3 linked regions of the Bombyx mori genome follow. The protein of the gene in region 3 purifies or fractionates together with the protein of the main gene of each other region. This does not show direct contact. Links are inferred from orthologs where the notes say so. Each region holds a gene or a part of one and is shown on either strand. Other genes may lie near its edges. The genes, in order: probable cytosolic Fe-S cluster assembly factor GL21135, DNA polymerase epsilon catalytic subunit 1 and NIF3-like protein.

Region 1 (10,059 bases), about 6.3 Mb from region 3:
CGTAGTTGCCGCTAACGCTTTTGCACCACTAGCGTATTCCCATAAATCGTATCTTACGAGAATCGCCTGTGCTTGTAAGCACCAGGTATCATAGTTTGATTTTGTCAGAGGTCCGTGGATCGTAACCACTTGTTTAATATCAGGTGGACATTGAACTACTAACCCTCTACAGTCTAATCAAGGGAAATACCAAAAATATACCATGTTATCAGATAATTAGAGTAGAGTATGTAGAGCTTAGAAGGCGTGACCGACGTTTTTAAATTGTCAGAACGTAATTAATAATGTGAAAAATGCCTCTGGTAAATTTACCATAGGCATTTTAATTAATTAATTAACATTACATTTTAAATCGACTAGGTCCTGACAGAGCTACTTTTAAATTAAACGCGAATTACTTTTTTTTCACCTAATTTATGAGTCCATTTCAGCGTAACCCTACACGTAGGTGAGGTCACGGGGCTCAAACCTGACGACGTTGCTAACAATAACCCTAGCAAAAGCCGTGCTTTGCAGAATCTACCACCGGATTGGAAACGCGACCCACTGAGAAGATCCGGCGAGAAACTCAGTGCTTGGGCTGTGTCTGTGGATTAATTTACTCGCAGAGCCCTTTGTCGCAAGTGACGTGTTCGACGAGAACGATGACCGGGCGAATTACTGGTGATAGCGTATTATGTGTGCCCGCACGGTGGGGTACCATCATCTTGCTTTTTCCTGCCGTGAAGCAATAATGCGTTCCAGTTTGAAGGGTGGAGTAATCGTTGTACTATAAAATCGAGACCATAGAACTCACGTCTCAAGGTGGGTGGCGGTATTGACGTGGTTAATGTTGGTGGGTTCTAGTGACTACTTAGCACCAAGTGAGCCGTGAGCTTCGTAACCCATTAAAGTAATTAAAAAAGATTGACATTATACATTGTCCCGATTGGCTTATGAAAACAATAGAAAACAATTAAATAGGTATTTAGAAAGCAGCCGTTCTTACGGCAATCAAATGCGTAGGTAATGGATAAAAACAACAGATTCAATATTATTACCAAACGTATTTATTCAATAACTTAGTTACACGAAAATCACAACTATCGTCTTTCTTATCACTAATCCTCTTATAATAATTAGAATAAACTAAATATAATAGAATACATAATAAATAGAAATAACAGAACATCAAGAATAATTAGTGTTATTGATATTCGAAGGGAAGCATTTACGCGCACAATTGTACGAATTCTACCGGATCAGACCATAATATGTGGTAACTGACACCTCTAGATTTACATTCATCTTATATAATACATGTTATGTACTTTGATGTTGACATGAAAAAGGCACTGAATTGTTATATCTCTTGATTTTAGCGGTAGGCAGCGGCTTGGCTCTGCCCCTGGCATTGCTGAAGTCCATGGGCGACGGTAACCACTCACCATCAGGTGGGCCGTATGCTCCTCTGCCTACAAGGGCAATAAAAAAAAAATGTATCGATCCATTAGCGGTGCTTCTAGGTACCTTAAGCACCGTCACCGTCCTCGCTTGCGACGAAGTGCTCGACGAGTAAATTAACCCATAGACACAGCCCACTGAGTTTCTCGCCGGATCTTCTCAGTGGGTCGCGTTTCCGATCCGGTGGTAGGTTCTGCGAAGCACGGCTCTTGCTAGGGTTCGTGTTAGCAACATCGTCAGGTTTGAGCCCCGCGAGCTCACCTACTAGTTAAGGTTCCGGTGAAATAGCCTCTCAAGGCTATCAGCTTAGGTAGGAAAAAGAAAACGCGTGATCAGTGTCGAAAATTGTTATCAAAACAAACCGCGAATGATAGTAACGATAACGTAGTTAGTAGAGTAAAAAATAAATGTTACGGTTGCGGCGCAGCGGCGCGAGCGGAGTAATACGTTCTAATTGTTCCAAGTGTAGTTCAAATTTTACCGCGGTCGACTTCATTCAAATACCGCGAACGCGATCGCGAAGTACAACGACCGCTGAGACCTCAGTGTGCTTAGTGCGAGTTCTTTAACGATCTGGATAGCGTAAAAGTTTACCCAATTTTGTATGCAGTTGGAACAGCGCCCCTAGCGGCAAACGTACGCAAACGATCCCATTCCATACAAATATGAGCTATCTTATACGCTATCGAGAATGTTAGAAAACTCGCACTAAGCACACAGATGTTGGTAAGCCGTCCACCCAGATGTGTAATTTTGAAAGTTTACCTATGGTTTTTACTGGGGCTGTACCTGACTTGTGTTTATCCAGTAGTGTTCATACTGAGCGCCCAAATTATGTTAAGTCATCGCTACACACTGCTCAGCCAAGTTTGGTATCATGTACTAATGTAAGTACACCTCCCGGAAATAATAATTTTGCCCGTAAATGTAATGTAAACTCGTCTCGTAAACATGTTGATAAACAAATTGATTCAAATTCGCCGCGTTCCGACGATATGCCTTGTTTACATCCTTATCTCGTCCTGTTAAGCAGGGGGAGTGTTTTAACCGCCCTCATGTACCTAGCGAATTTAAATCAGTATCTCCTAGTGAATTTTGTGATAATCAGTGCATCGTAAATAATAGAAATAAATGTAAAACGTCACGTGGTCCGTCACCGAGTAGGGCGACCATTATTTTTTCGGGACAAAACCAGGAATTTGGTATTAAAATGTTCGCGACGGACATGATGATTAGGAATAGTTAAGATATGTTAAAAATATTATAAAATAAGAGGATGTCCGTGACAAATAAATAGAAATAGAGAATGTCCAACTAAATACAAATAAGTTGTTAATAGAAATAGGCTAAACGTAGAAATAAGTTAAATTGTAAATATTTTATTTTGAAGATTGGTCCTCGTGGTCTTTGATTTGGCGTACGAGAGCGGGAGCGAGTCATAATAGAGCGAGACAAAAATGGGCAAATAATAGAGCGAGCGAGGCGCCCAAGAAAACAATAGACACCCACCGCGCCAAATTTTAATGGTCATAGTTCTGTCACCTTTTCGTCTGTAACTTCTTCGCAAAATGGCAACGCGCGACGACCTATTTTAGGTATAGAGATTTTAGGAATCCGAGGTAGGGGTTTAATCGACACCGCAGCCAAATTAACTGTTGCCGGTTCTTCACTCTACGCCTTACTGCAACAGCATAACCAGCCTTTTCTTCTCTAGTTCTATGCGTGTTAAGCTCGCCGATGGTTCAATGCAAACACGACAAATGCTGTCAAGGACACTTGATGTGAAGTTATTACCGGGTAAGATGATTCTCATAGAATTCGTCGCATTCCCGGACGCTCAGGATAATGCCACATTATTGGGTGTAGACTTTTTAGTAGCAGCTGGTTTAGCCTTCGACTTCGATACTTCGACATGGCGCTACCAAGGTTTTGAACGAGTTTTTCCATTGGAGTTCGAGTATTCCGGTGACCTCACGCCTTGTTCCGCTGTTGATTTTTTAAGAGAAAACGAGGAAACTATGCTGTACCCTCCCGAGCGTGACCGCCTAGCTACTCTTCTGCAGTGCAATGAGGATGTCTTCACACCAGGGGGAGACCCAATGCCTTACGCTGAATATCATAAAGATGATAGGAAGTTGCAATCCGACAAAAGTCGGTTATCTGGTCCCAGTTACCAAGTAGGTGATCTAGTCCTTCTCTCTATGCACTTGTTAAGTGATGCCGCCAAAGGTAGAACGAAGCAGTTCATGAATAAGCGTGAAGGACCCTACCAGATTAGCAATATCATTAGTCATACTACCTATGAGGTTACTGATTTGAATTCGCAGATTTTAGGGAAATTTCATGCTTCTCATTTGAAGCCGTATCGTAATCAAACCGGTCAGGTCTCGGCTCCAGTACAGCCTCGACGCCTGCGTGGACGGCCGCGTCTTGTTGCTTCTGCCGAGCCACCAACGAGGCATTCTAGTGACTCGGAGGGGGAGGATATAACGGAACCAAGTATCCGAACGTGCGATACCGCCCCCGCCGCCGCCTTGCCCCCCGCTGAGACAGAGCTCTGTCGCGCGATGTCGACCGGCAAAATATTGTACATCTTAGCTTTTCTTAACTTTTTATTTTTATTTTAGTTATTGTGACGCTTTTCTATTAAAACCACATACAAATCAGTGTCATTTCCATATCTTCTTCGCAAACAGCCCGGAACACCGAACTCACAAAAACTCACAAAAGCCCCACCGGTCGGAATTTTAGTGTTAAAAATGTTAATTTTAAATGCTCAGCGAAGCGGACGGGTACAGTATATCAATATATACCTTCGCTTCGGCTTCGCTTCTATACCTACTCGTGCTACTCAAAGAGTTTTCTTTTTTTTTTTTTACTGTACTAAGTAGTTAGATCCGCTACGTACTTAGTGTGTAGTGTTAATACGTGAAGTGTGGGCATTGAAGTGGGGGTTGGGGTGTGAGTGGAAAGATGACGTATGATAGGCCTAACTAAACGAAAGAAGTCATTTATTAATTTCTAAGATGGTTGGACAATCTCATGGCCTATCTGATATTAAATGGTTATCCGAGCCGTTTGCCGCATGCAGTCCGAGAAAGCAATTACATGTAACTTTGAAGAAAATAATGGTGACTTTTTTTTTATATATTGATATTTAGTCGCCTAGTTGTGAAACATAACTCTAGTATAAATAAAGACATTTGACGAAAACACTCTGAATTCAATTGCACTTTGAAGTAATGCACAGGGTAATGAACCACGTTAATTCTGCGGTAATGTAGCGGCTTGACTGTGTCCTCGGCATTGTTGATGTCCATGAGCGACGATGACTAATTACCGTCAGGTAGGCCGTATGTTCGTCGGCCTACAATGATAAAGTGGAATTAGAAGTTGGTCCCCCCAACCCCCCGCGGCGCCCCCTCCCGGGCAGTCAACGTGAGCAGCTACCACTTAATATTAAGGGCGATATCGGACTTTTCGACGGCGCGGTACGTGGTGTGCAGGACGGCCTTGGCTTTATCCGAATCTTTCCCGTCGAGCCAGTCCGTGTACAGTTTCCTCAGGAACTTGTTCTCGACGGGCGTGGCCAGCGGTAGCTGCGAGTACAGCGTCTCTAGTCGCAGCACGAGCTCGCGCCCCGCCTCGCCCCCCGCGGCCCGCGCCTGGCCCCCCCCGACCCGCACCTGGGCGCCGCCGTTGAGGCAACCTGAGAGCGGGGGCGGCCTTATTATAATACTGTTTTAGGTATTACACAGCTAGCTAATTTGACCTGTCCAAATTTTAGCATAACAAAAAAGGTTAAATATTTAAAAATTCGTAAACGTTGCTCAGACTATTTCTTTTTTTTCATAACATTCTCTAGTTGCCCGTAAAACAAAATTAGTTAACAACAAAGAAAATCGACTTCAACTGTAGTAAAATGAAAATATCAACAATACTACATTGGGTCAATTAAAAAAGTATTATTAAGAAAAACCATAGGTCAAATCTTGATAAAATTGAAATGGGATCACAAGAGAAGTATCAGCTTTCAAATAAATAAATCAAAAAATCTTCAAATTAATTCACGAAGATAAAAGTTCTGAAGTAATAAATAAAACTGTTGAATCGAGAACCTTCTTTTTAAAGTCGGTTAAAAAGTAGCCAACTCACTCACGATCTGGTTTCTTACTTCTTATCTCTGACTACATCGGATAGTTAAGCCTTTGCGTCCTTATTCCTAATTTACCTACCTGAAGGACAAGCCATGACTTCGACGTAGTGGTAGGGAGACTTCCCCCTCTTTAGTTTCTGGACAAGATTCTGAATGTTTCTGAAGCCGTTGGCGATCGCGAAACGAAGCACCTCTTTGCCGTCTCTCTCTAAAGTCACCTCTTTGAAGTCTGGATTCCTGGAAGATGTTATAAAGCAAAACATATACATATTTCTGTTTTATGCGGTTTGATTACAAAGACCAAAGAACAATAACAATGGACCTGGTAGTTTTCAATTTATTCAAATCAAGCCACAGCCTCTTGTCTCAAGCAGCCTAGCGACCTTTAGCTCATGACGTGTATGTACTGCACGTAAACTATGAACTCATCGGTCATTTAAAGAATGTAATTTTGCTGTGTCACCACATGAGGCGCCACTGACGCGTGGACTTGCGCAAACATTGTCCGGCGACTCCGCAGCTGGCCACCACGACCTCGTCTTTCTAACGTAACCATAACAGACTCACCTCAGATTCCTATACACGAGTTGAGCATCGGTCTCTCCAAAGAGTTGTTCGGCTCCGTAGAGGAAGACATGGTCGGCGCCGCCACCAGAGCCGGAGCCCCGGTGTCGGCGGACTGCCCCTTCACCCCACGGACTGTCCAACGAAGAGCTCTCCGCATCGTTTAGTGACATGTTGCTGTTGTCCAACATTTGTTCTAGCTCGACTAAAATTGTCACATTTATAGGGCTGCCCTGACTTTTGTTTAACCATTTATTTATTAATATATTTTGCTTCTAGAATTTATCGTAAGATGAGTCGACTATTATCAAAGCCGGCAATCTGACTTTTGGACAATGATTGGTAAATCAGAAAAACGAATTATTGACTTTGTATTCCATTGGCAGTCACAAAACTCTTCGGAACGACATCTTAGATAAATAACAGGTTAACTATTAACCTTTATTTAATGCAGGTTTTGAACCGTATTCTTTGAAGGAGACGATTATATTCAAATCAATCTGTATTGACATATCAATAATTTTTTTTTGTCCAAATGCACAGATTGCCACCTTTGATAATAGACGACTCAGATATTACAAATCAGCCGTACATGTGTCTTGAAAAATTACAATGCAAATAAGGAAGCTTCATTAATTTATTGCACAGCTGTCTAAATATTATAAAAGAAAATAGTATTGAAAGAATTATTAATTCTCATAAACAATTGTATACTTACTCGCAGTTATGACACAGTCTACATCATGACAGCTAAGCAAATCATTGTAAAATTCCTCCCGAGATGCTTCTAGTTTCTTATCGTAGCACGGCATGACGGTCACGTGGTACACCTCTCCGGGAGTAAGCTCCTTAGTACGGGACAGGTATTGCTTTACCAGAGAACCCATTATTTGTTGTGGGGATTTTGTGGTGGATATGTAGGGTAGTATAAAGTTACCGTGCGTTTTTTCAGCATAGCACACCCAGCCTGAAAATTGTTGATTAGTTGGTTGGTTAATTGTTTTTAATAAGAGTTTTCGTATAAATGTAAATCTTTATGAACAAAGCCACCATCTAACGTCAACTTGAAATATAAAGTAAGATATTAATAACTGCTCAATTTTTTTTTAATTGTTATTATTTTATAGCAGCAGAAATAGGCATATAGTACCAATAATATTTCCAATTATATTCTCAAACTAAAGCATGCTTACCAGGGCACGAACTGGCTAACATCGGAAGATATTTTCCATTGGGATCAGCCTGTTGATCCTGATACCTTTGTACAAATTCTTGCTGTGCTTCTAACAGAGATAAGTCTTCTGCTATCGTCATGTCAAGAACTAGATCTGCTCCAAGACTTTTAAAGTACCCTGTGATAATGAATTAAAAGTTAGACATTGTAAGGACCTCCAAATAACCAAACCATCTTGTAATTTGTTATTACAATTAAATCTACATAACCTTTAGATTTGTCTATGGGACACTTGGTGTTTGGTTACAAACAGAGCTTATTGACATCATATTGTGACTGTTGGTACCCACCTTGTTACAAGAAGTTTCATTGTAATAGAGGAATACAATACATTTGCCATTTATGTATCACATATGTCAAACAAAATCCTCAGAAAATTTATTTAGTATCTACTGCAAACTGAGCAGTTTTTATTTAATTTGTATTCATAGCAAAGTGATGAAATGTGAATGTATTTTGAAACACAATACAGTTACTTTCTGCTGAGTATTTCTGGAATGTTTTCATTACAATATCATTATAAATATAGACCTGCTAATTTATTTGTGGCATGTTCAGGCGGTAGCTTGTACCTAGCTGCTAGTGACAGTATGGGTTGCGGCGACAGAGATATTACTATTAAACTAACATCCTTCACCACTCCTTTACTGTCTGTGTATTTACGGTCTGAAAATACCCTGAAATTAAAATATGTTTACTATGCAAAATATAATTAATAAATTAATTATATTTTTGTTCCATGAATAGGAACTACTATTCATTTAAGTGTCTAGTGCTACTTGTAGGGAGGACTACAGTCATCGCACCTGTTTTTGCCAAAAAGCAGTCATACTTTTGGTTTGAAGAATGGCACAGCTCTTATGAAATATACTTGGATTCAGTGTCTCACAGTGGGTGCTGGCATTCACTTAGTGATATATACAGGCTTCTATAATCTTTCTGGACCAGGTGGCCAGGAATTAATAACCCCGTCAACTCCCCCCTTATTTTTTATACCTTAAAAGTTATTCCTTCTTTAACTTGTTAGGCATTTCGTGATATTATGTTAGAAACTCTCTTTGGTAATGAAAACTCATAGGACTTACTTAAGTAGCTCTTCTTGACTTTGTTTAGTAATGAGCACACTCTCAGCAGATGTGATGCATCCACTGCACGCAAGACAGTCTGCTAAGGTGATTTCAACTTTCTTCAACTTCTGCTCTGTTCCGCTTGACACATCAAAGTACCCACCTTCGCCAATCTTTATTTTGGCACCTGTCTTTGTTTTAGATTTGTCGATTTTGATTGGTTTTACGCATTCCTAAAAATGTTAACTTTATGATAAATTTACTGATTGATTCACTTTCATAAGTTTGCTTGATGTTAATACTTAATACTCAATGAGTTGTTCACTCATTTATTGTTATAGTACTAGTTTTAAATAGAGTATGAAATAGTAAAAAAAACTTAATACGATAAAAACTCTGATTGTTAAATTCAGAATAATTTTTACTTTAAAGTCCCTTTTGTCTCAATTTTGATTCGATAGTTAGTAGTGCTTGTATAAATTATAGTATATTATGAATAATTATATTATCAAAGTAGATTGGTACAAAATTTTAATAACAATTCAATTAAAATGAAATGAATTGTTACAAAAAAGTTATATTTGAATTGTTTTTTTTTTCGCCAGCAAAGGATTTTATTGATAACAAAAAAAAAACATACCTGTGAAGGAGTTATGAAATCGTCAAGATCCGTAAGTTGTAATGCACCACTAAATCGAGATGCCATTTTATTATTGAACAGGCGTCTTGGTATGAAGTAAATAATAAATGTGATGTACGATTAATTTGATAAAGTGCAAGGTTATGACGTTACATTTTATCAACACAGCTGAAAATGACATACGACAATTACGACATTAAATGACGTTTGTGGTTTTTTTTTTCTGTATGAAAAATGGTAAATGATACTTAATTTAAAATACTTCAAAATTACTTAATTTAAATATAATTTAAATAGAGCACTGATCTGGAAAGAGTCTGGCAAAAGGAAGAGAGGCCGCCCCAGAACAACTTGGCGTCGCTCGGTGGAGCAGGAGCTAGGGGTCTTGGGCACGACGTGGGAGGAGCTAGAACAGACTGCCCAAGACCGATATAAATGGAAAAATTTGATTCGAGCCCTACACCCCAGCAGAGGGTAATAGGAAACAATGATGATGATGATGAAATATAGCTAAATGAGGCAATGTTACTTAAATAAACTTAAACATAACGGTATTTTATTTTAATTCATTTGGTTAAAATTGTTGAAAATTAAAGGAATATTCTAAAATTCACATGCTAGATAAGTTCACTTTTGTGTATAGTGGATATTAAAAATAATTTTATATTTAATTTTAATAATATTTTTTTTTTGTTAATTTGCATGAAAATTACGAATGCAAGTTTTTCTGTTAATTAACTACAAAAAGATAGTTAAGCCTAAACATCACGATGGAAATACCACCAACCACTTTGAGAGTTGCTGATTTACTTACGCTAATAATATTTATTACACTAATGCATAATTTTATATTATATAAGTTTGTGACTCTTACTTCACTGGTGCAAACATATTTTTTTTTAGAAAACCGAGACACGCTCTTACCTTCTTTCCGCACTCTCGAAGTTAAAATCGT
Region 2 (10,680 bases), on a different chromosome or scaffold from region 3:
GTGTTGTTAGATTTCAGCAGCGCTTTTAACTCTGTTGACTTCGATGTTCTGCTCGAAATACTCAAATCAAACAATATCTCCTCGTCTGCTATTAACTGGTTTGATAGTTACCTTCGGGGGCGCTCGCAATGTGTCCGTCTTGACGAGACTTTCTCGGATTGGCAGAACGTCAGTGCGGGCGTTCCCCAAGGTGGTGTTCTTTCTCCTCTTCTGTTTTCTGTGTTTATAAACTCTGTCACTAGGCTTATATCTTCTAAATTCCACCTCTACGCAGACGATCTCCAGCTATATTGCCACTTCTCGGAGCCTGAAGTTGAATCGGCTATTGCTGCGATGAACAGTGATCTGAAGTCTATCAGTGAATGGGCAAAAGCCTACGGTCTGCACATTAATCCGGGAAAATCACAGGCTATCATTATAGGGGGTAAACAATTGCGCAGTAGACTCAGCGATCCTATACTCCCCCCAATTTATTTGGATGGGACTCAAATAACTCTAACCGATTCAGTTAAAAACCTGGGTGTTATTGTAGATCGACATCTTTCGTGGAGTTCTCACGTTGCTGAGATTAGTAGGAAGGTGCACTTTGCCTTGCACTCGTTGAGATGTCTGCAGGGCTTCTTACCTCAGCATACAAAAATATCTCTCGTCCAAGCTCTCATTCTACCCATAATTGATTACGCCGATGCCTGCTACTTGGATGCCACTGAGGAGCTCTCAAACAAGCTTGAGAGGATGCAAAATCTATGTATCCGTTTTATATACAATCTCAGAAAATTCGATCATGTTTCTCATTTTCGCAAAGAACTTAAATGGCTCCCTATACGCCTTCGTAGGAATACTCGAATATTATGTCTCCTATTCAATATCCTACATAAGCCCACTTCTCCCTTATATTTACGTAAGCGATTCTCTTTCATTCGTTCTCCTGATGCTCCCTGCAGGTCCAACCAACGTTCTGTTTTGTTATTCCCTTCCCACAAAACCAATTTCTATTCTCACTCCTTTACTGTGCACGCGGTCAGACTGTGGAATTCGTTGCCGGCTGACATCCGAGTTTGCAAGTCTGTTTCTGTTTTTAAATACAAGGTCAAACAATTTTATCTATCATCAACCGAATGATCATGGTTCTATACTCTTCGCATATACGAGTGTTACTGTGTTACTTATAATATTTGTTATGTGTATGTGCTATAATTCTCATGTTGTATTTGTTATTTTAGTTATGTGTTATTTGTTCTACACACACTTATCACATTTTATTATTATTCTCATTATCCTCTCGCAGGTCTGCTGGAAGAGATTTCTCAAAGAAATAAGCAGTGCCTTTGTACATAATTTTCCTATTACTCTGTACTGTGTCTTGTTTTCTGTGTGTACATAAATAAATAAATAAAAATAAATAATAAAAAAACATCTCAATGATTTTTTATGATATTACTCCAGTTAGAACTTTTATTATTTTTATTTAATAATTATATTCGTGCAGATCTGACTTCTGTGTTTCACTTACATACAATATGCAGGAGGCAATGCTTATCTAATTTAAAAAAAAAATCTAGACGAGACTACTTTTCATATTCTCCTTCTTCTTTCTTTCTTATTACCCTCTGCTGGGGTGTAGGGCTCGAATCAAATCCTTTCATTTACATCGGTCTTAGGCAGTCTGTTTTGTTATACAAATACTTCTCATATTAGCAATAATATCTTGAACTTGTGTCAAAAGTGTGTACAGCTATTCATTAACAATCGAAAAGAAATAATTGTAGTGAAAATTTGGCACCAATTGCGATTCTGTTACTTGTTTGTTCATCGCTAATAGCATGTCCCAGTAATTATAAAAAAATTTTTTTAAGCTATTGCATAGCTTTTATAATCATGAAATTCCGTAACGAAAAAAACCTAACACCCCTCACTCCGCCTACCATGTAACTCGCGTTCAACACATTCACACGTTGCGCTTGTGTAGTGTTTGTGAATAAGCGCGTGGCGTGACGTCACACTGCATGCGCATCATGAAAAGTCTGCCATCTCTCTCTCGCGCGGTCTAGCTTATGAGTGTGAAGGGAACAGTTAATGTTTTGCTTTTGTTAATGTTTAATATAGCGTGGTCTTGTTTTATTGTTGTTTTAATATTAAATTATCATTGTGTAATTATAATTGCATAAGTTGAAAAAAAATGCCATGCAATAGCTTTACCGCGGCAGTTCCCGAGTGCCACACGTTTTTTTTTTCTTTTACTTCTGATTTTGCCTCCATATTACATTCATTAACATTTCATATAGCATACCAGAAAGGATGAATTACCTATTCGTCAATATGATGTTAGGGTACATAGCGCCGACGTCCAAATGATAAATCAAAGGGTTCTCGTCCCTTCGCGGGTGCTCTTTCATATGTTGTAGTTTCGCTTTAATCTCTCCGCAGACCTCGTCGAAATTCGTGACCATCTCCAGCGGTATACCTTCCTCCACCTCTATGGCGTGCCTCATGGTCTTCTCGGTGTTCTCCAGCAGCTTGTCCACGGCCGTTGGGGCGATACGGAACTTGCATTTAATGTCCGCTCTGAATACACCTACAAGCATTTTAAGACATAATTAAATGAAAATTCGATTAATAATAAAGATTTAACCATTCAAGGATTCATCAGACGAGCTTGGAGTATTTTGTGGTATTTTGGAATAGTTGGAAGATTACATTAGATTTATACATGTACATTTTACTCTGTGTACGGATTATTTAGAAGAAATAGATTCAAGAGGTACGCCCTCCCATTGTAGCTTTGTAGAAAGTACTATATTCTCTAATATACAATCAAGTACATATAATCTAGTATAATTTAGAGCATTCATGGTCGTTTATTTTACTAATTGACTGATACAAGTGATGTCTGTAAACACAGTGACCCCTCAATCGAGCACCTAGAGCTCAAGCTCAGCCGTACCTCAAACTGATATGAATGATGTACGTTCTACTCGCGTGGTGGCGCTAGTATCGTGGTGTACGCACCGGACTCCAGAGCCTCGACGTGTCCCCCGACGTAAGTCTCCGTCTCCAGCACGTGCCCGTCGCTCGTCAGCTTGTTCAGCTCCTCCACCTGCTTGTTCGGGAACACGATGTTCGCATGGAACGCCTCGACCATCAGCAACGACTCGCACAGCGTGCCGGAACCTTTCCGGAGTACCTGACCGTGGACACGAACATTACCTCGTGGACTGACTTGGAACACACTTTGCAATAGAAATAGAGCGTTGGAAGGCGAGTAGTAACTAGAGGAAATCAGGGTACAAAACATAACTATCATCGAAAAGTGAAAAATTCACTTTCTCTCTCCGTCCCTTTATTTACTGATTGTAGGACTCATTGGAAAGCTGCGCTCGCCGATACTATCGTCTTGCATAGTTCTGCACACAGCAATATGATCTTTTAAAGCGGATTACATACCAACTTTGATTATTTTTTTAAATGAAATTCTAACCAAAACCATGACACAGGCATTTGAAAACTTAAGTATCAATAAAAAATATACCCATGTTTTTTTTTTTTTTTTTTATTGCCCTTGTAGGCAGACGAGCATACGGCCCACCTGATGGTGAGTGGTTACCGTCGCCCATGGACTTCAGCAATGCCAGGGGCAGAGCCAAGCCACTGCCTACCGTATAGTAGTCTTAGTATATAATAGAATAGAAGAAATTTACACGATAGGTTTACATTTAAACACAGTTCGAACAAGATATGTGTATTTAGTGCTAGTTTTTTAACATTCTTGATATCAAAAGTGAACTAAAATTTGTTTGGAGTTGGAACAGCGCCCCTAGCGGCCAACGTTCCAACTCTATACAAATTTGAGTTAACTTTTTCGATATCGAGAACGTTAAAAAACTCGCACTAAGCACACTGAACTAAGAGTGTATCGGGCAAATACATCCCGCTCAGTGACAGATTTCTCGTGCAAGCCATACAATATACACCTAAACATTTTATTTCTAAATATGAATTTATGAGATTTACTATAAGGACTCTTTTTCTCTATCGACGAAAACTATCGAAGTGTACTACTACATACAGTCTATAATATATAATAGTGTATACATATTATAATATTATATATTGGGGGGGTGAAAAGCTTATTTGGCTTAAGCGACATTTATGTTTATAATTAAAGGTCCATTTATTATTTTGTATTAGCATCAAAAATTCGATGTTTTTAATTTAACATCAATTAAGTAATCCATACAAATATCTGAATTTTTTTTATGGATTTTTTCCAAATTTCAAACTTTAAATGGCACTCCTGTGAAATTGCAAAAATGTCGGTTAAACCAAATAAATAACCTTTCACCCCCCGATATAATATAGGCTAATAAGGATCGTTTCTCACCTCGTCGGGCTCCAGCGGGATAATGGTGCAGAGGGCAAATATGAACGGATGCACGTACTTCATGTACAAGTAGTACGTGGCGACCGCGTCCGACACCGAGTAGTTCGACAGCACCTATAAACCATTACACAGAATCCGTTTTTTATTTATTTATTGCTTAGATGGGTGGACGAGCTCACAGTCCACCTGGTGTTAAGTGGTTACCGGAGCCCATAGACATCTAGAACGTAAATGCCATCATCCACTGGAGATATGAGTTCTAGGGTCCTCACCTTTCAAACCGAAAGGCATTACTGCTTCACGGCTGAATAGACAGGGTGGTGGTACCCACCCATGCGGACTCATAAGACGTCCTACCACCAGTCCGTCTCGTATTGCGGAGACTGAGACAGCGCGCGACCCACCGATGTCCGCACGACTCGCAACAGTGGCTATTACCGCCATACACTTCAACCTTAGTTCGATATTACAGATATTTTCTTTCTGTTTTTTTTTATTTGCCCTTGTAGTCAGACGAGCGTACGGCCCACCTGATGGTGAGTGGTTACCGTCGCCCATGGACTTCAGCAATGCCAGGGGCAGAGCCAAGCCGCTGCCTACCGCTTAATACTCTCCACAAGCCTCGTTTGAAGAAGAACATGTCATAGCGCTCGGGAAACATCGTGGAGGGGAGCTCATTCCATAGCCGGATGGTACGTGGCAAAAAAGACCTCTGGAAACGCACTGTGGATGACCGCAGTGGCTCCAGGTAGTACAGATGAACTCTACTCCGGTGGCGGGCGGCACGATAGTAAAAACGAGATGCCGGTATCATCTCGAGCAATTCCTCAGAGCACTCCCCATGGAGAATTTCTTTACCTATCTACTGTTAATAACTTCAAGGGGTTATAACTAGCTTAACCAAACGTGTAAGCGACCTTACGGGGCTCAGTCTGAGATACTTTGCTAACACTAGCCCTAGCGAGAGTCGTGCTTCGCAGAATCTACCACCGAATCAGAATGGCGACCCACTGAGAAGAATCGCAGAGAAATTCAGTGGGCTGTGTCTGTGGGCTAGTTCGTTCGTCGAACTCATCTTCGCAATCGACGGTTTCGACTAGAACGGTGACCGGTGGTATGCCTAAACGCACCCAGACTGAATTGAGAGTCTCCGAAATGACGTCTTTAAGGGGGACGATGACAATTTGTTATTCGGACATCTGGTTGGGTATGTTGGGTAGCACCGCTCACCGCCAAACGCTTATTTAATTGCATTTATTTACTCCAAATGGGTTTAATCCTTGTGAGTCTACTTCTCAAAGACGGAGGCAGGGCATTTTAGATTTTGGATGCGGCGGAAGAGAAACCACCCCCTGTAGCTTTATTTATACAATTAGGCCGTCTGAGTAAACTACGTTATGTCCTTCGCTGGACACCGGCTCCATGTTGGCAACGAATCCTGCGACATTCATCAGGTCTGTTGTTACTTAAGTACACCTAGTATAGTACTCCAGTAGGATATTTTAGAATTACAAATTAATACAAGTCCTATCGGCCAAGGATTGCATTACTTAGTACAATTTTATCAGCATCAATGCCTCAGAGCTTAAGATAGTGGGCAGTTCCTGGACCACATAAACGTTGCAGTGGGAATGTGACCTCCGTGAGACATGAGGTCGACGTGCCCCACAATGTGTGACGTCATATTGCAGAGCGGATGATGCAGTATGATTACACCTTACGGCGGATGCGGTCTCGTGCCTGCGTTGGTATTACCTGAGGCTGTTCGGACGCCATCCTGCACATGTCTTCAGGGTCCAGCTCGACGGGGTCGTACCTCAGCTTGGCTTTAGCGACCGCCTTCAGGCCCTGCGAGCCGACCGGCAGATACGAGTCTCTTTTCACCCAGCTGCGGAGAAGATCAATGTTTAAATTTTTACTAAAATCTGAATTCTGAAACTTGAATAGTGAAAAGTTTTCTGGTGGTAGGACCTATTGTGAGTCCACACATCTAGCCAATAAAAAAAAAGGTTTATTCGACTAGTTCCTATGAAGTGTTTGTAGTCTTTTATGAGTTTTATTTTTAATTAAATCTACTTTTAAGTTTTTATCTTACGGTTACTAATTTAGCTTTAATAATACTTGGCTTGGCTTATAGTTTTCGGAGGTCACTAAGCCATTCTATAAAAAACAATTATCGACTTTTATAAAACGTAACAACGTAAAGAAACCTTTACGTGCAATTATTTCGGCATCCTTTTTTTTAACTTAGCCCCATCAGTAATTTATACTCACTATTATCTACTATTAACATATTATACTAGGGGCCAATTAGAAAGATAGACAACACAGAAGCATTAAAATAAAAATAATATGGAAACAAAATTGTAAAGTCGAACTTATGAAACCAATAATCAGTTATTGTAAGTTCAATCTGACTATTACTTAAATCATAATTTTGTATAGTTCAAACCTAATCCGGAAAAGCGACTTTATGGTTCTGATTTCTAGACTTTATCTTTTATAGCAAGCACTTCTTGTATACAGTTTCTTTGTTACGCACCATAAGCAGTCCATGTGCATCGCAGGTCTGCAGACGTACGTGTTGTCGCGTGACGTCACCTTACTGAACCCTATCTCCTGCTTCATGTCCAGCCCTAGAATCGCGGCACGAGCTTCCACAAATGGCCAATCGAAGAAATCACCTAAAGCAGAATTTAGAATTAGTAACATAAATAACTCTCGGAATAAGTCTTCTTATCCTTCGGCATCCTTCGGCAAAAAAACCGGTCATAAAGTACGTCTGATTAGTTGAAGGGGTACGAGTGACTTTTTAAAATCTCTACTATATATAACCCAATTAATACACAACGAACAAGGGCAATACCATTATCGTCACCAGATCAGACCTTAGTTGCAATAAAGATTCGTTTTTCTTTTTTTTCCTACCTAAGCCGATAGCCTTGAGAGACTATATCAGCGGAACCTTAACTGGTAGGTGAGCTCACGGGGTTCAAACCTGACGACATTGCTAACACGAACCCTAGCAAGAGCCGTGCTTCGCAGAATCTACCACCGGATCGGAAACGCGACCCACTGAGGAGATCCGGCGAGAAACTCAGTGGGCTGTGTCTGAGGGTTAATTTACTCGTCGAGCCTTTCGTCGCAAGCGACGGGTTCGACTAGAACGGTGACCGGTGCTTGAGGTACTTAAAAGCACCGTTAGTGGATCGGGAGGATCCGATTTGACGTGTTTGGGGCGACGTCGACTGCTTTCCATTCTTTCCGCAGGATCGGGAATGTAGTTACCGGCGGCCACGATGAGAGAGGGTTCTCGTGTCGTGCCGCTTTATCGAAGTGAAGATTCGTATATGCGTCCAGATCTTTTTATTGCATAGTTCTCAAGGCCACAACAAAAACATAATTTAAAAGCTTTAAAACTTTTTTTACATGCCACTTAAGACTATATTCTTGATGGGACGCAATGATGAAGTCAAAATTAACAAAACAAAAATAACTAAACCGAAATCGTTTAAATCATATATTAGTAGGCAACTGTTATGAAAGTTGTGAAAATTCAGCAATATGAGCTCAGATTTTAAAATTTAATTATCAAATTATCCTTACCGTTATATGTGACAAAGATGTGTGGTTTCACATCCATGATATGATCGAAAAACTTCTGTATAAGTGCCAGCTCATTTGGTTCATTAAATACTATGAATTGGCTGTAAAAGTAATTAAATATTAACCTTCTGTATTCGAATAAGAAAAATGTAAAAAGGCACCTGTTTAAAAGTGGAACTAAAGTTAATCATACTGCTTGAGATAAAGCACCCAATTCGCAACCCATTTGCGTACCAATTTGAGTCACTAGGCCAGTTTTCTGCTCTGTTCATCTCCACCTGGTGGGCTAGCACCTTTCATGCTTTTGCCGGTTTATGGTCTACCCTCAAACCCATTCCAGTGGTCGTTAGTTCTAAGACGTGTATTTCCAATCCATCGCCACTAGCTGGCCGATTCTGTCGGCTATGACGGTTCGATTTTAGTTCCCTCAAATAACCTTAGTTAATTTTTGTTTGCATGAGTGTACCAGGCTCACCACAAACCGCAAGGAGGCGATTGTACGTGAGACGCGCAACATCTGCTCACACCAATGATACTGGATGACGACCACGACCGCTCTGACAAATTATACGACATGCGATACGATACGATAATCTTTAGAGAAGTTCCAAGCACAGCTTTTCACATAGCTGGCTGAGCAAACCTTGAGTTCATGGACTAGTTATATTTTCAATTGCCACATCTCAGAGGTACCGTAAGTTATAAACAATAGAATGCACTTGTTGTTAAATGACAATCAAGAATATTTTTTCATGCACTCTATTTGAACAAATTTAAGGCATGCTATGCTATACTTTTCTGTAACATTTTATAGGACAAAGAAGCTGAAAAATAGAACTACGAAATATTGAATCTCTCGAAACGTACCCTTCAAATTCCGGTTTAGGAGTATATTCAAAGTCTTCAACGTCGACCGATATAATTTCTCTGTTTGTTATTAAGTACCCCTGTGCATCGATCATGTAAGAGATCATCATTATTTGATCTGTTTGCGAGTCTGGAAACTTTAATGGTAGTTTTGTAGTTTCTATATCAAAGGCCAATACTATAGGATCTGGTCTCTCGATGATGTCATCTCGTTTTGTGAAAATAGGAGGGTCAGTACCTCTGCATTTCACTGTGTACCATGTGCCACAGAATATTCTCATGTCTATAGAGACTCTTACATGATATGGCACATCATGTTCCCTGTCGAAAATAGGTTCACTTTATTGATTTTTTTGTTAAACTTAAAATACAAAATTATATAGAAATAATAGAAAATTCGATTGGTATCCACTAGAAGTACGTAATTTGAAATAAAAGTAAAGAAATTGAATTTTAGAAGTAGACTTACTGAACTATACTTAGAATTGAATAGCTACAGACGGAATTCAGCTACGGCATTCAAGAAGCATCATGTTTCTGCAACTTACCGGATGTCCAAAATATTTTCCATGTGATCAGTAGTTTTCTTAGCGTGTTCGATAGCTGCTGCACTGGTTAATGCATTAGTTAACATTTCAGCATAAATAACATCTTTCTTTTCCCGCTCTTTATTTTTATTAACTGCCGTCAATATCTCCCGTCGGACTTTCATCATATCATTTTGAGACATAAATGATAATTTTATGTAACGCTGTTTCAGACCTGATAAGTGGTTCATCTGAAAATACAGTTGCATTCTATTTTTAATGGACAGTCGAAAATTTCTCATTTTAAATTACAGTTGGAGTTTGTAACATTACCACAGCTGATCATTTCTACCATAGAGCAGATGCTTTACACCAGTACCCTTTTAATACCTAGTAGACCATGAGTCTTTTCACCAAACAAGTGCAATTAGTGAAATAGAAACAAACTAACTCTTTAATTTTTAAGCTCCACCACACTGACTACCACTATATTATTATGTGGAATAGAATTAAAGTATAGTGTTCCAGACAGACAGTTGCATTAATTTTATTGTTTATGAGCTTCACTCAGTACTCAACATTATTTGGTTGTGAACTCCTCATCTGCGTGGATCAGCAAAAAAGAAAAACATTACCCTATTATGGCAGTTAGGTAATAATTTTAAGAAATGAATAATATTCAGCAATTCAATTTACAAATTAACAATAGCTTATATAAATTGAATGATACAATTAATAGAAATAACTTATCACAAAATACCAAGTCCAAATCTTCCTTCTCCAATACTTCAATCTTTTGCACTGAACTAGCAAACTTCTTAGAGATGTATTGTATAACTTCCTGTTCACATTCTCTTCTGGCCATTATTAGAAAATATGGTTGAAACATTAATGAAATTTTGAATCTGGTACCGTCCATCTCTATGAAATAGTAATCCATGGCAGCAACTAATCGTTTGTCTTCATCGAGTACCTCAGCCTAGTTGGAATGTTTAATAATAAATTTTAAGCCCTTCTTATCGGAGCAAGTAAGTCTTTCAAGTAATTACTACTTATTACACTGATAAATGAATTTTAATGCAAAAACTAAAATTTGTGTTTTCTTAAGAGAGATCAACTCACCAAGGTGAAAAGGTAATATGACGAAATTTACTATACAAGTGTTGTAGTTTTAAATGTAGGAGTCTTCTACAATATTGAAATTACAAAAAGTAATTACAAAATTGAAACTTTACGCATACTCGTTCTCATGGTTGAGGAGATGTGAATTTAAATATTTACAAATCATAATTACCGTGT
Region 3 (11,270 bases):
AGTGGTGGCACTTCGGAGTCGGCTCCCTCCGGGTGACGAGGTGCAGGTAGCGACCGAAACAGCCGTGTCCTGTGAGCACCTGCGTCGCTCGGAAGGTGAGACGTCCTCGGTCGCGATTCACCCAGTCCGAGAGGACCGGGCGGATCGCCTCGACGGTCTGTCGCCCGTAGGCGGGGTCCGCCAGGCGGCGAGACCACGCCTCGAGCACGGAACGCCGAGATTGAAGCTTCCGCGCTCGAACTTCCGCCGCAACTTAACACCCCTGTGTTAAGTTAAAAAAAAAAAAAGCCAACTCGAGGTTCTCCGGGCCATGTGACTTTTTGATAGCTGAATGAATAGTTCATCATTTAAGATCTTCTGACACCCGGGATTTTTTTTATCGTGGAAATAGTTTGTGAACTCTTTAAATTGGTATTCAGCATTCCTGATCCAAGGTTCTCTCCTTATAATTTAAAAAATAAATAATATAATAATTAACCTAATTTACGAATTGTTTTAAACTTTCACGGATATGTGCATTATAGATACAGACTATTATAGGGTCTTACCAGGATTTTCATAGGTCATGAATTCCCGATATAACACACAGTACAGTCTATCTACATTAATCCAACAAAACAATGGTTTCGTTAGAGAGTTGAATATTTAAATCAATGGGTTTCGTTTTCAAAATCAAAGGATTTGATACAATCCTGATCTATTTTTAGTATTTGCTACAGGCTTGTACAGTGGTTTTCTTTATGGTTGGATTTATTTCTGTACAGTAACCAATGCCAATTTCTCGATAGAGTTGATAAAAATCAATGTATTAATCACTTGACACAGACTATTACTAAGCACAGACGCTTTTAATGTTTTAGGTCCCACAATAAACAAGAATCATGTCTTTGCTACCGAGCCAATTTCGCATCAAATCAAAACACCTCTAAAAGAAGTGGAAAAATTAAACAAAACAGACTTATTACGAACAAAATTCGAGTCTGCACATTCTCCTTCCAATGATCACAGGACGAAAGCAAGACAATTACGAGAAAGTGACTTAACGTATTTCGGAGTAAATAAGGGAAGAAAGGAAGATACTGAATCAAAGATATTTAAAAGTAATCTATCAGAGGATTCTGCTATAGAAGATATCTTTCAATCTGTTAGACTAATTCAGCAAGTCTCAAACAGCGTTTGCAATAGTGAAGCTGAATCTGATGACGTACCTGAATATCAAAACTTCCATGCTACCAACAACTATATCCCAGTTCCTAAGCCTAGACTTCGTACAAGATATGAAGATAAACCTAACGAAATCCACGAAGTCAAAGTACTAAAGCCAATTATTGAACATGAACGTTCTGAAACAAATGATTATGTAAAATCTATAACGCGACGCTCAAAATCTAGAAGGCAAGAACATACAGCATCTGCTAATAGAAGCTTATCTGAACCACCGAAACGAGACAAAGCTTTTTCAAATTCCAAACAGTCATTGAGAGCAAATACGCCATCGCGGTAAGTTTGAAACGAATATTTTTAATTATTTGGAATGAAGTACAAAACTTAAAAACAAAAATATATACAAAAGATCCTAAGCTCAACCCCTTAAAGACTTAGATAAGATATACATAGTATATATCTGCGTAATAAAATTCTGTTAAGTTCTTCAAAGCGAACGCACAATAATTTCACAGTAGAAATAAACGGGGCGATTGTACCACTCGTGCGGTTTTGCAGCACATCTTACCACTTATTCTTAGACCAGAATTAGGAGGTTAATTAAGCATGATTGATTTTCTATTCTTACCAAATAACCATGGCGTGTTTTCCCATCTATTCGATTAAACCGTGTGCCGTACCAGAAAAGCCCATTATTTAGTTTTGACAAAGAATTATTTCATAGATATAATCTATTTATTTCAGATCTGTCAATCGCACAGTTAGAGAAGCTGTGGAAAGCCAAGTGACAATTGCTACCCCTCGTTCTAAGAAAATAGAAGAAATGATTCCTATTTACGAGAACCTACACCCAGGACGGGAATCTAATATTATTTATGACAAAAATAAACTAAAGCCTAAAACGTCAATAACACCAGAAGTTCCTACAAGGAAAACTTATGTAAAAAGACAGGAAAAAAGCGAAGACGTTAAGACATCGAAATTGAGCAATAATGACAGAAATACAAAGTCAAGTTCACAAAATACCAATGGGATAGGCAGTTTGAGAAGGATTTCACAGATCACAAACAAACGTAGTGAAACCAGAGAACCACATAAAGGTGAAAATGTAAGTAAAATGGAAAACGAAAAAGATCTTGAAGCGGCGCATAAAACTTCGTTCAAAAGTGTACGGCAAGTATCCACGCCTAGAAGGTCGAAAGTTGAAAATCGAACGTCATCTTCGCCCTGTCGTCCAGATAGAAATGAAACGAAAAAAACACTTGACGATAATTGCAAAAAAGAATCACAACCAGTTATGAAGAAATCTGCGGGATACGATAAAAATAAGAAGAGTTCTAAAGATACATCCAAGGAATCAGATCCACTAAAGAAAATGGATCAAAACACAATTGTATACGAAATGAAATCTGTACAAATAAAAAACGAACATAAGGATATAAATTCAAAACGAAACAGATCCAAATCTCCAAGGCGACGTGAGTATGTTATTAACTATGATGACAAAAATGGAACAGTGTCCTCGGTTTGTAAAGTTACAACCAGCCCAGGGGGTAGTTATAGAAAGAAAAAGATCTCAAAAGAAATCTTAGATAGTCCAAAAGGGCAGATACTAAAACCTAAAACAATAAACAAAATAGCGCTACGAAAGTAAAGCTGTATGCATGCCACTAATGAACGCTCTAACACAAATATAACCGGCCTTCATTTAAAATGGAAATATTTCAGTGCAACTTCCAGATCATCCAAAACTAACGAGTAGAAAGAGAAAAGCTGATAAAAATGTGAAAACGAAAGTTTATATAGAAAGGTCTTGCCAGATATTGTAAGCTAAATACAGTGACCAAGTGGACAAACTTTAAAACGTAGAGTTACATATGGAGTGTACTTAAATAGAATAAGGAAGATGATCTCGCAACTTTATTTTAACAAACCAATTTGATTGGAGTATACAACCAAGTACGCTCACGTATTTGGGTAAATAAAACATAACTATATTTAATATTTCTTTTATTTCTTACAAAAACTACCTATTTAATTTTATCTTCATTTGTACGTCTAGCAGACTTTTTACACAGTTATCAAAGGATCTTTGTCGACTTTGCTTACGAAAACCTCAACTTCTTCATTCAAATTTTTATGTAAATAATTTGCAAATCCTCGCAAGAACCCTCTTTCGGAGTCCGAATGATTCGTTAATATAACTGTTATACCTTTTTGAGCTGCATCAAGTACGTCGTGATGAAGCATTTCGCCTGCAAAAAAAGAATTCAATATACATCATTTAGAGGTCAGCATCACTTTAGTTGATATTTTTGTTTGGGCACAGAAATAGCTCCAAAACAAGTGATTTTATTGGTTGTTTCATTTATATCATATTTTTATACGATAAAGTATAAAGGTAACATAATCATAATAATATTTGCGTAATTACTGGTGGTAGGACCTCTTGTGAGTCCGCGCGGGTGGGTACCACCGCCCTGCCTATTTCTGCCGTGAAGCAGTAATGCGTTTCGGTTTGAAGGGTGGAGCAGCTGTTGTAACTATACTGAGACCTTAGAACTTATATCTCAAGGTGGGTGGCGCATTTACGTTGTGGATGTCTGTGGATGGGCTCCAGTAACCACTTAACACCAGGTGGGCTGTGAGGTCGTCCACTCATCTAAGCAATAAAAAATAAAAATAAATATATATATATGTATATATTACTTTTTTTTAAGGCATGAAATTTTAGATAATCCTCAGAGGGACGGGTATGGTACTTCTGTTAGGGGCCAAATATCGTTGACGTACTTCTTGTCCAAGTTAATATAATTTAAAACATTAATGTGTAAGTATAAGATGTACGACATAAAAGTATACATATTATACAATACATTTTTAATTAAATAGAATAACATAACATTATGTTGTTGCATGTTTTTCGTTAAAATACTAAATAAAGTATGCTTATCGAAAAAGGAAATATCTGAATAAACTGTAATGAAATTTCAGGTACTTCTTTAGCCAATAATATCATCCATTTCTTATTGATCGAAACAAAATCAGTCAGACTTACAGGTAGCACCTCTTTCCCTATTGGACGCCTATCAGTGTTCCCACCCTGCATAATATAATGACGATCGTTCGAAAAGAATCTACCTTACTCCCTATACATGATGTTTTAAAGTGATTTAAATGTTCATCTAATAATATGAAATATTAATCAATTTAATAGAATTTATCAGCTTATTATACTATAATATACTACCTGTCAAATAAAGATCAGCATCGACTCCCTTTAATACCGAACTTCCGGATCCGGCACATAACGCTACCCTCTGAACGGTGTGCGTCATAGACTTTCCCTTTGCGGCAGCGATGCGGACATGGGAGAGTCGTGTAAGTTCCTTAATTCTGTTTACTGCATCAGATAATGGGATTCCGGTGCTCAAATGAAGTAATCTACAAAAAAATATTCTCAATTAATTTAGGGCCGATGTCTTCCTGATCTAACGTGTAAAGGGTACTCGTGCTAAATGTTGCGACGGCTGTAACCGAAACTCTTTGGTAAATACCGAAGACGGCGATTATTTCAAAGACTCCTTAGAATCCATAATATTTATAACAAACAAATCAGATAAGTAGCACTCTCTTCTCTGGTTTTCAAACTTAAATATAAATAGCAAAACGTCGTTTCAAACAAAAATCTGCTATGTGCACTTTTTGAGATTTTTACTTTTTAACATTTTCGTATAGTTTACAGCCTATCTTCGTACAGTTTATCTTTATAAAAAATATACCTTATAAAAAAAACAGTTATGTGTCTATAGCTTTAATTTTTATATATAGCTTTCATTTGATATAGTTCTTAAAAAATCACCTTATAAAATTTTATACGAAAATGTTTTTACTCCTTAATTCAAAATAGAGTTTTTGCACATAGAAGATTTTGGTTTGACAGCGACGAAAATCAAAAAAATATTAATAATAAATTATTACAATAATACAATAATAATTACATTTAATTAATGCAAACATTATGAGGTCAGTGTTTGCGATCAAATTCTTATAATTGGGCGAACTTTTAACATAGCTTACCTGCCGGCTCCGAAGTCGGGGTTGTTTGATTGTAAAATTGGCTTAGACTCTGCGACAGAGAAAGCAGATGCCAACCAGTCATTGACCCCGCCTTGCACACTATCCCAACTAGTATGTGGCGAGTACAGGGCGATTCGTTTTTCTAATAAATAAGATACAACCCGTTCTTTCCACGAACTGTAAAAAATACATATTTGAAATCGCCAAGTTGTAAATAGACTTGATCTAAAGTCTTGTAACAGTTATATAATATAAATATATAATATAATATAATATAATTATAACATTCTATTAAAATAGTTTCGGCTAGCGTTATTGTATAAAAAATATCCCTCGGGAATAGTACACTAAAAGTCTAAATACAAGGTATTCTCAGTCCTTTTCTATTCTACGCACAATGTGTATACCATTTTTATATTTATTATATTAATATGGATAGGTAACCTTCAGATTTACAATTTTACAGACGGTACACTTTTGCCACCGTGCTTTTTGGCATTTAAATAATCAATTCCCAGACGTATAGTCCACCGTGATTTTAGTCATAACTAATACAGTCAAACTTGGGTAATTGAGAACTGGATAAGTAAGAAAACTCTATAAGTGAGAGTAATAGCAAGGACCCGTCATTTTAAGCTCCCAAAACCTCTATTAGCGAGAAACAGAAACCTCTGTAAGAGAGAGTCGTTTTTTCCTCATGGACCTCCGTAAGTGAGACTGCTACCTATCTATACCTCTATAAGCGACAGCCGAGCTTTATTTATTTATTTATATTATTTAGGAAGAACAAATGACAAAACAAATTACAAATTTAACATTTGCTATTTTATGACTCATTTTTAACTTTCGTGGAACTTATTATCATTGTTTTTGTATTGTTTTCTCGTGAATATTGAACCTATTCTATTTCGTGAAACTAAATAACGTTGTTATTTTATCGTATTCTTTTATCGCATTATTTTCGAATGGACACGTGTGCCTGTGTACCGTCCTGTTTGTCGGACTTACTCAGATTATCGTTAATCAATTGCGAAGGAAAGTTCTGTTCTGCATCATGTAAAAACGGAAAATTAAAGTACTGTCATTAAAGTCATAAACTTAAAATAGTGAATGCATTTGAATGCGGAAAATCGCGAATCGAAATTCAGAGGGAGCATTAGCGAGAAACTCGGGTTAGTGAGAAACCTCTATAAGCGAGAATGAGATTGTGCTCCCTTGAACTCTCGCTTATCCAGGTTTGACTGTACTTTCATTTGATAATATAAAATATATGGATACTATGCTGACAAAGTGATAAATAGCGTCAAAGACGTGTGACTAGAACTATATAAATAATTACCGCTGAACAATAGACTTCAAAGGCGCAAATATCGGAGGATGATATGAAATAATCATCTCACACGCCAGAATTTCAGCTTCCAAGGCCACATCTTCTGTTAAGTCGTTAGTTAACAAAATTTTGGTTATTTGTCTGGAATTGAAAATTATAAAAAAATATTATATTTTAAATAGGTAATTAAAAACATAAAGAAAATTAATTTAAATTTGTCAAATTAACTAATGGAAATTTATTTAAAGTATTTTTATAAGTTTGGCGATTATATGTCTGAACTTACAGGCATTTGACTTTAGCTGGTACCACTTCTACATCATCAACTCATATTATAGTTGCATCCTCACTTTGTGTTCTGTATAGATCTTTCTATAACAGGGGAGTGACTTTTAGTCCACACTGGTTGTGTTTGAGAATAGACTGTATTTTTTAAATCTTGTGATTCGCAAAAGTGCAATGGGCATTGGCCATGTAATTTTATTTATTTTTATTAAAAAGGTTTTCGAGGAATAGGTTAGCTGATTACAGAAAACCAATTTTCAATGAAATAATATAATATAATTATATATGAAAAATAATTATATACCCATGTTTTAATCAAACATGTTTGGTAATCCTCAAATAATGTCATCATTGGCTTTATTCAAAGAGACACTTTAGCCTATATATTTTATATACCCTACATACGGCTGAATTGACAGTTTATAATTTGAAACTTCAAAGCACATACAATTTCAACCCAAAGCATGAAGGTAATCATAACTTTAATACTTAAGACTTATCTATCAATTCTATGTCTTCTTCTTCTTATCAGCCCACAGACGTCCACTACTGGACACAGGGCTCCCCCAAGTCTCGCCACAAAGACCGGTCCTGCGCTGCCTGCATCCAGCAGATTCCCGCGAATCTCAATAGATCGTCGTTCTATCTTGCGGGAGGCTTGCCCACGCTACGTCTTCCGGTACGCGGTCGCCACTCAAGAACTTTCTGGCCCCAACGGCCATCCGTTCTACGAGCAATGTGCCTTGCCCACTGCCAATTCAACGTCGCAATTCTTTGGGCTATGTCGGTTATCATGGTTTTCCTGCGAATCTCCTCATTTCTGATTTATCTCGCAGGAAAACTCCAAGCATAGCCTCTCCATTGCTCTTTGAGTGACCTTGAGCCTTCTCATAAGGGCCATTGTGAGCAACCACATTTCAGAGCAACACACACTGATCAAAGACTTTCGTCTTGAGACACTGTGGTATTTGTGATGAGAAGATTTACGTAGCTTTCCGAACGCTGCCTATCCAAGCTGGATTCGACGATTGACCTCTTTTTCGAAGTTGGACTTACTTAGCAGGACAGTGTGTCCCAGTTAAATATACTCGTCAACAACTTCGAGCGTAGAGCTTCCAATTTTTACTGGAGTGGGCGCTATATGAACATTCAACATAATTTTTGTTTTTTCCATGTTCATATTCAGGCCCACTCGGATAGAAGCCCTACTGAGGTCTTTGAGCATTGTACTAAGGTCCTCCAAGGTCTCGGCCATAGTCACAATATCGTCGGCGAACTATGTACTCGCCGATGATGTTTATGCTAGCCCTTTCCAGTTCAGAACTTTGAAAATGTCTTCCAACGCAGCGGTAAATAGTTTCGGAGAAATAACATCTCTGCAAGACTGCATAATCATCTCGCGACGTTCTTCCATGAGTTTGAAAGTAGGGTCTGAGAGTTTTTTGGTTCTGTTTGCACGACGGGTTCCAAAAATCTTGGAACCGATCGTATGGACAGCATTCACAAACCCGTTATTGTAATCGTCCACGGAGCCTCCTAGGCACTCGAAGCGGTTTTGAAGTTCGAGCTGAAAGTGTCTAGAACTTTGGATCTGAGCTGGTGCTGAACGGAGCGTAGACCTCATAACTCGGAATCTCTCAAGGTTTATTGAGGTTCATTGTGCCTCTTACCACCCGATGATCACTTCCGGTTTTAATCGTATTGATCACAGAGACATCATAATAAAATCTGCGACATAATAAAATCAATCTCATTTTTGATAGCGCTATTGGGGCTCATCCAGGTCCACTTCCTGTGACCCCGTTTTCTGAAGAGGTCATCATAAATAATTCTTTCTTCTCCATGAAATCGGCAAGTAAGTTTCCCTGGTGATTTCGATGCCCAAATCCAAATGGTCCTACTCGCAGCTCCCCTTCGCACCGTTTACCGAGTCTGGCGTTGATATCCCCCATGACAATGGTGAAGTGAGTTGTAGAGCTATGCATGGCTCTGGAAATGTCCTATTACATAGTCGGAGCGTAAACCTGTATTATCTTCAACGAATACCTTTTGGTGATTCTGAGTACAAGGTACAACCACTCTGGTCGATACACTCTCGATTTACAACACATTATTCATAGGGGACTTGTGGACGATAATCCCGACACCACCTTAAGACAGATGATCACCTTCCCGAAAATAGAACAAGTTACCGGACCTCAGAATTATCGTTTCCTCTCCCTCTCTTCGGACTTCAGATAAGCCCACAATGTCCCACCGTAACCTGCTCAATTCCTCCTCGAGTTCCACAATCTTCTCATCGGTCCGCAGTGTTCGCGCGTTATATGTTGCCAGGTCCAATCGTCGTTTTTTACGTAGCCGGATCTCTGCCGGAGATTCTTAGCACCCCCTGCCCCGCCGTTACCTTGACCGCTACTGTAGCCAGGAATAGCGGAGCTGCCGAGGACTGGGCGGTTTTTATTTGTGTCAGACATGTTGGGAGGGGTTTCCATAATCGCCACGCTTGGCATGCGGGTTGGCGATCGCAGTATGCTGTTATGATACTCAGAGAACGTTGCCGCTCATTCTCTGGATAACCCGTTAGTCGCCCGGTATTATTCTTTATCGAGGCCACACCACACGGACACCACACGGCCAATTCTGTGTAATCCTCTACAATAAGTCTAAAGACTAAAGCAATACACAGTAAGGCTTAGCATCTCTGTCATTACCAGTTTCTATGTGAGGCAGTAGCTACCTTAATATAATTATTATAATAGTACATAATTTTAAATGAATAACATTTTTTTTTGTTACTGCTAGTGGGTATTTGTAGTCAAGAATAAATTTGCTCATACCTCGGTGTGTAAGGTTCCACCAACAAACCAGTGTTATCCCAACTCTCTGCCAATTCTTTTGGAGCAAATTTTTCAAGTACTGTTACTACTCTTTCCAAAGACACTGCACAGAATTTCTCAGTTGACATTTTGATAAAATGTGTGAACAAGTGATTCCTTGAATTTCTTGACTTTAAAATGTGCCTGCCTAACTGAAAGAACATTAGTAATATCTGAAAAAAGTTTAATTTTTAAATGTAAAATTTACTAATAAATTTGAAATAAAACATTGTTAAAAAATTAAATTTTACCAAAAGGCATTTTGAAAAGATTCAGTGAAATAATAAATGCTGTTTTTCATCATTATTTTAATCCAAACTTTATTTCCTTTTTCCTTATCTTTAAAACTAACTACTCCATTATAAAAACAATTAACTGATGTTTAATTTATAAATTGGAATTTTATAATGCCACTTTTAATTTTTAATATGGTTTGTAATAGTTTAATATGGTATATTGTGTAATAATATAGTACTTTAGTGTTTTGTTAATTCATATTATAAGACCGTTTCTTATACCAAAAAAAACCTGACTGTGGGTATTTTGTATAGTTCAATGATTGGATCTAAAGAAGTTGATATTTCATAATAATTGTCAGATTTTCAAAGCTTTCATATTTAAAAAAAATATGTAAGCCCATGGATTATATCAGCAAGCCAGTGCAGTGTATACCAAAACATTTTATCTATGTTATAATGTTTTTTGTTATTTTTTTTATTAGTTATTTGGGTTATGTTCGTGAACAATAATACTAAATCATGTTTTCAACAATTATTATAAAGACTGAAACTTATACTGTATTTACAATACATTTATATCTTGCTAGATACAATCACAGCTAATGTCTTGTGGCATAACCTTAATATAAAATTATTATCACTCCTTGTTAGATTTTTTGATCATTTCTATTTGATCTTTCTGTCAATAATTAGTTACTTTAAGCTTCTGTAAACTTCCATATTTTTATTTCTCCATCATCACTACAAGAAAGCAGTTCTTGATTTCCTGAAGGATTCCAAGCTACACAGTTTACATCTTGAGAATGAGCATTTTTCTTTGTACAAAGAAGTTCAAAAGTGGGAGCATTAGGATCAGAATCTTCACTCTCTTTAAATATTCTAATGATATCATCTCCACAAGCAGTAGCTATGAGGTCAGTTTTATGACACCAAGCAATATCATAAATACATCGTGTGTGAAATCCAGAGAGTGTACATATGCATTTCCAGACTGCCTCTCGATCAGTCACCACAACACCTTCTTGATTATCAGGTTTGTATTCTTTCCAAATTTTTACAGTTCTATCGTCACTACATGTCGCCAGTCTTTCTCCAGTTTTATCAAATGCCAAACTCCAAACTGTTGACTCATGCGAATGTAGAGTGGCAACACAAGTCCAATCATTATCTACAGGATCTTCTTGGTACAGTTTTACTGTGTTATCATAAGATGCTGATGCTAAGATATCTAGAGAAGGATGCCATGCAACCTATAAAGAAAATAATATAATTTATCCATTCATTATATGTAAGAAA

Evidence for each region.
Region 1: the proteins of NIF3-like protein (region 3) and probable cytosolic Fe-S cluster assembly factor GL21135 purify together in Homo sapiens (affinity purification with western blotting; 3 studies listed by BioGRID and IntAct, with this or other methods). This does not show direct contact. The link is inferred for Bombyx mori from reciprocal best matches to the Homo sapiens genes CIAO1 and CIAO3.
Region 2: the proteins of NIF3-like protein (region 3) and DNA polymerase epsilon catalytic subunit 1 purify together in Homo sapiens (affinity purification with western blotting; 3 studies listed by BioGRID, with this or other methods). This does not show direct contact. The link is inferred for Bombyx mori from reciprocal best matches to the Homo sapiens genes CIAO1 and POLE.

Annotation. Positions count from the first base shown.
Region 1 is NC_085116.1:15,943,562-15,953,620, forward strand, and holds probable cytosolic Fe-S cluster assembly factor GL21135, read right to left. Parts: upstream 9,286-10,059; 5' UTR 9,171-9,285; coding exon 9,105-9,170; intron 8,698-9,104; coding exon 8,483-8,697; intron 8,075-8,482; coding exon 7,929-8,074; intron 7,516-7,928; coding exon 7,357-7,515; intron 7,131-7,356; coding exon 6,882-7,130; intron 6,369-6,881; coding exon 6,167-6,368; intron 5,837-6,166; coding exon 5,679-5,836; intron 5,153-5,678; coding exon 4,890-5,152; 3' UTR 1,027-4,889; downstream 1-1,026.
Region 2 is NC_085131.1:3,951,402-3,962,081, reverse strand, and holds part of DNA polymerase epsilon catalytic subunit 1, read right to left. Parts: coding exon 10,676-10,680; intron 10,361-10,675; coding exon 10,142-10,360; intron 9,633-10,141; coding exon 9,403-9,632; intron 9,176-9,402; coding exon 8,855-9,175; intron 8,089-8,854; coding exon 7,988-8,088; intron 7,066-7,987; coding exon 6,924-7,065; intron 6,270-6,923; coding exon 6,137-6,269; intron 4,496-6,136; coding exon 4,382-4,495; intron 3,185-4,381; coding exon 3,010-3,184; intron 2,576-3,009; coding exon 2,308-2,575; intron 1-2,307. UniProt on the Homo sapiens protein: Catalytic component of the DNA polymerase epsilon complex. Participates in chromosomal DNA replication.
Region 3 is NC_085116.1:9,594,275-9,605,544, forward strand, and holds NIF3-like protein, read right to left. Parts: upstream 9,825-11,270; coding exon 9,697-9,824; intron 6,716-9,696; coding exon 6,584-6,715; intron 5,422-6,583; coding exon 5,245-5,421; intron 4,609-5,244; coding exon 4,415-4,608; intron 3,420-4,414; coding exon 3,235-3,419; downstream 1-3,234. Other genes in the region: uncharacterized protein LOC101736312, read left to right, coding at 861-1,500, 1,909-2,818. UniProt on the Homo sapiens protein: Key component of the cytosolic iron-sulfur protein assembly (CIA) complex, a multiprotein complex that mediates the incorporation of iron-sulfur cluster into extramitochondrial Fe/S proteins.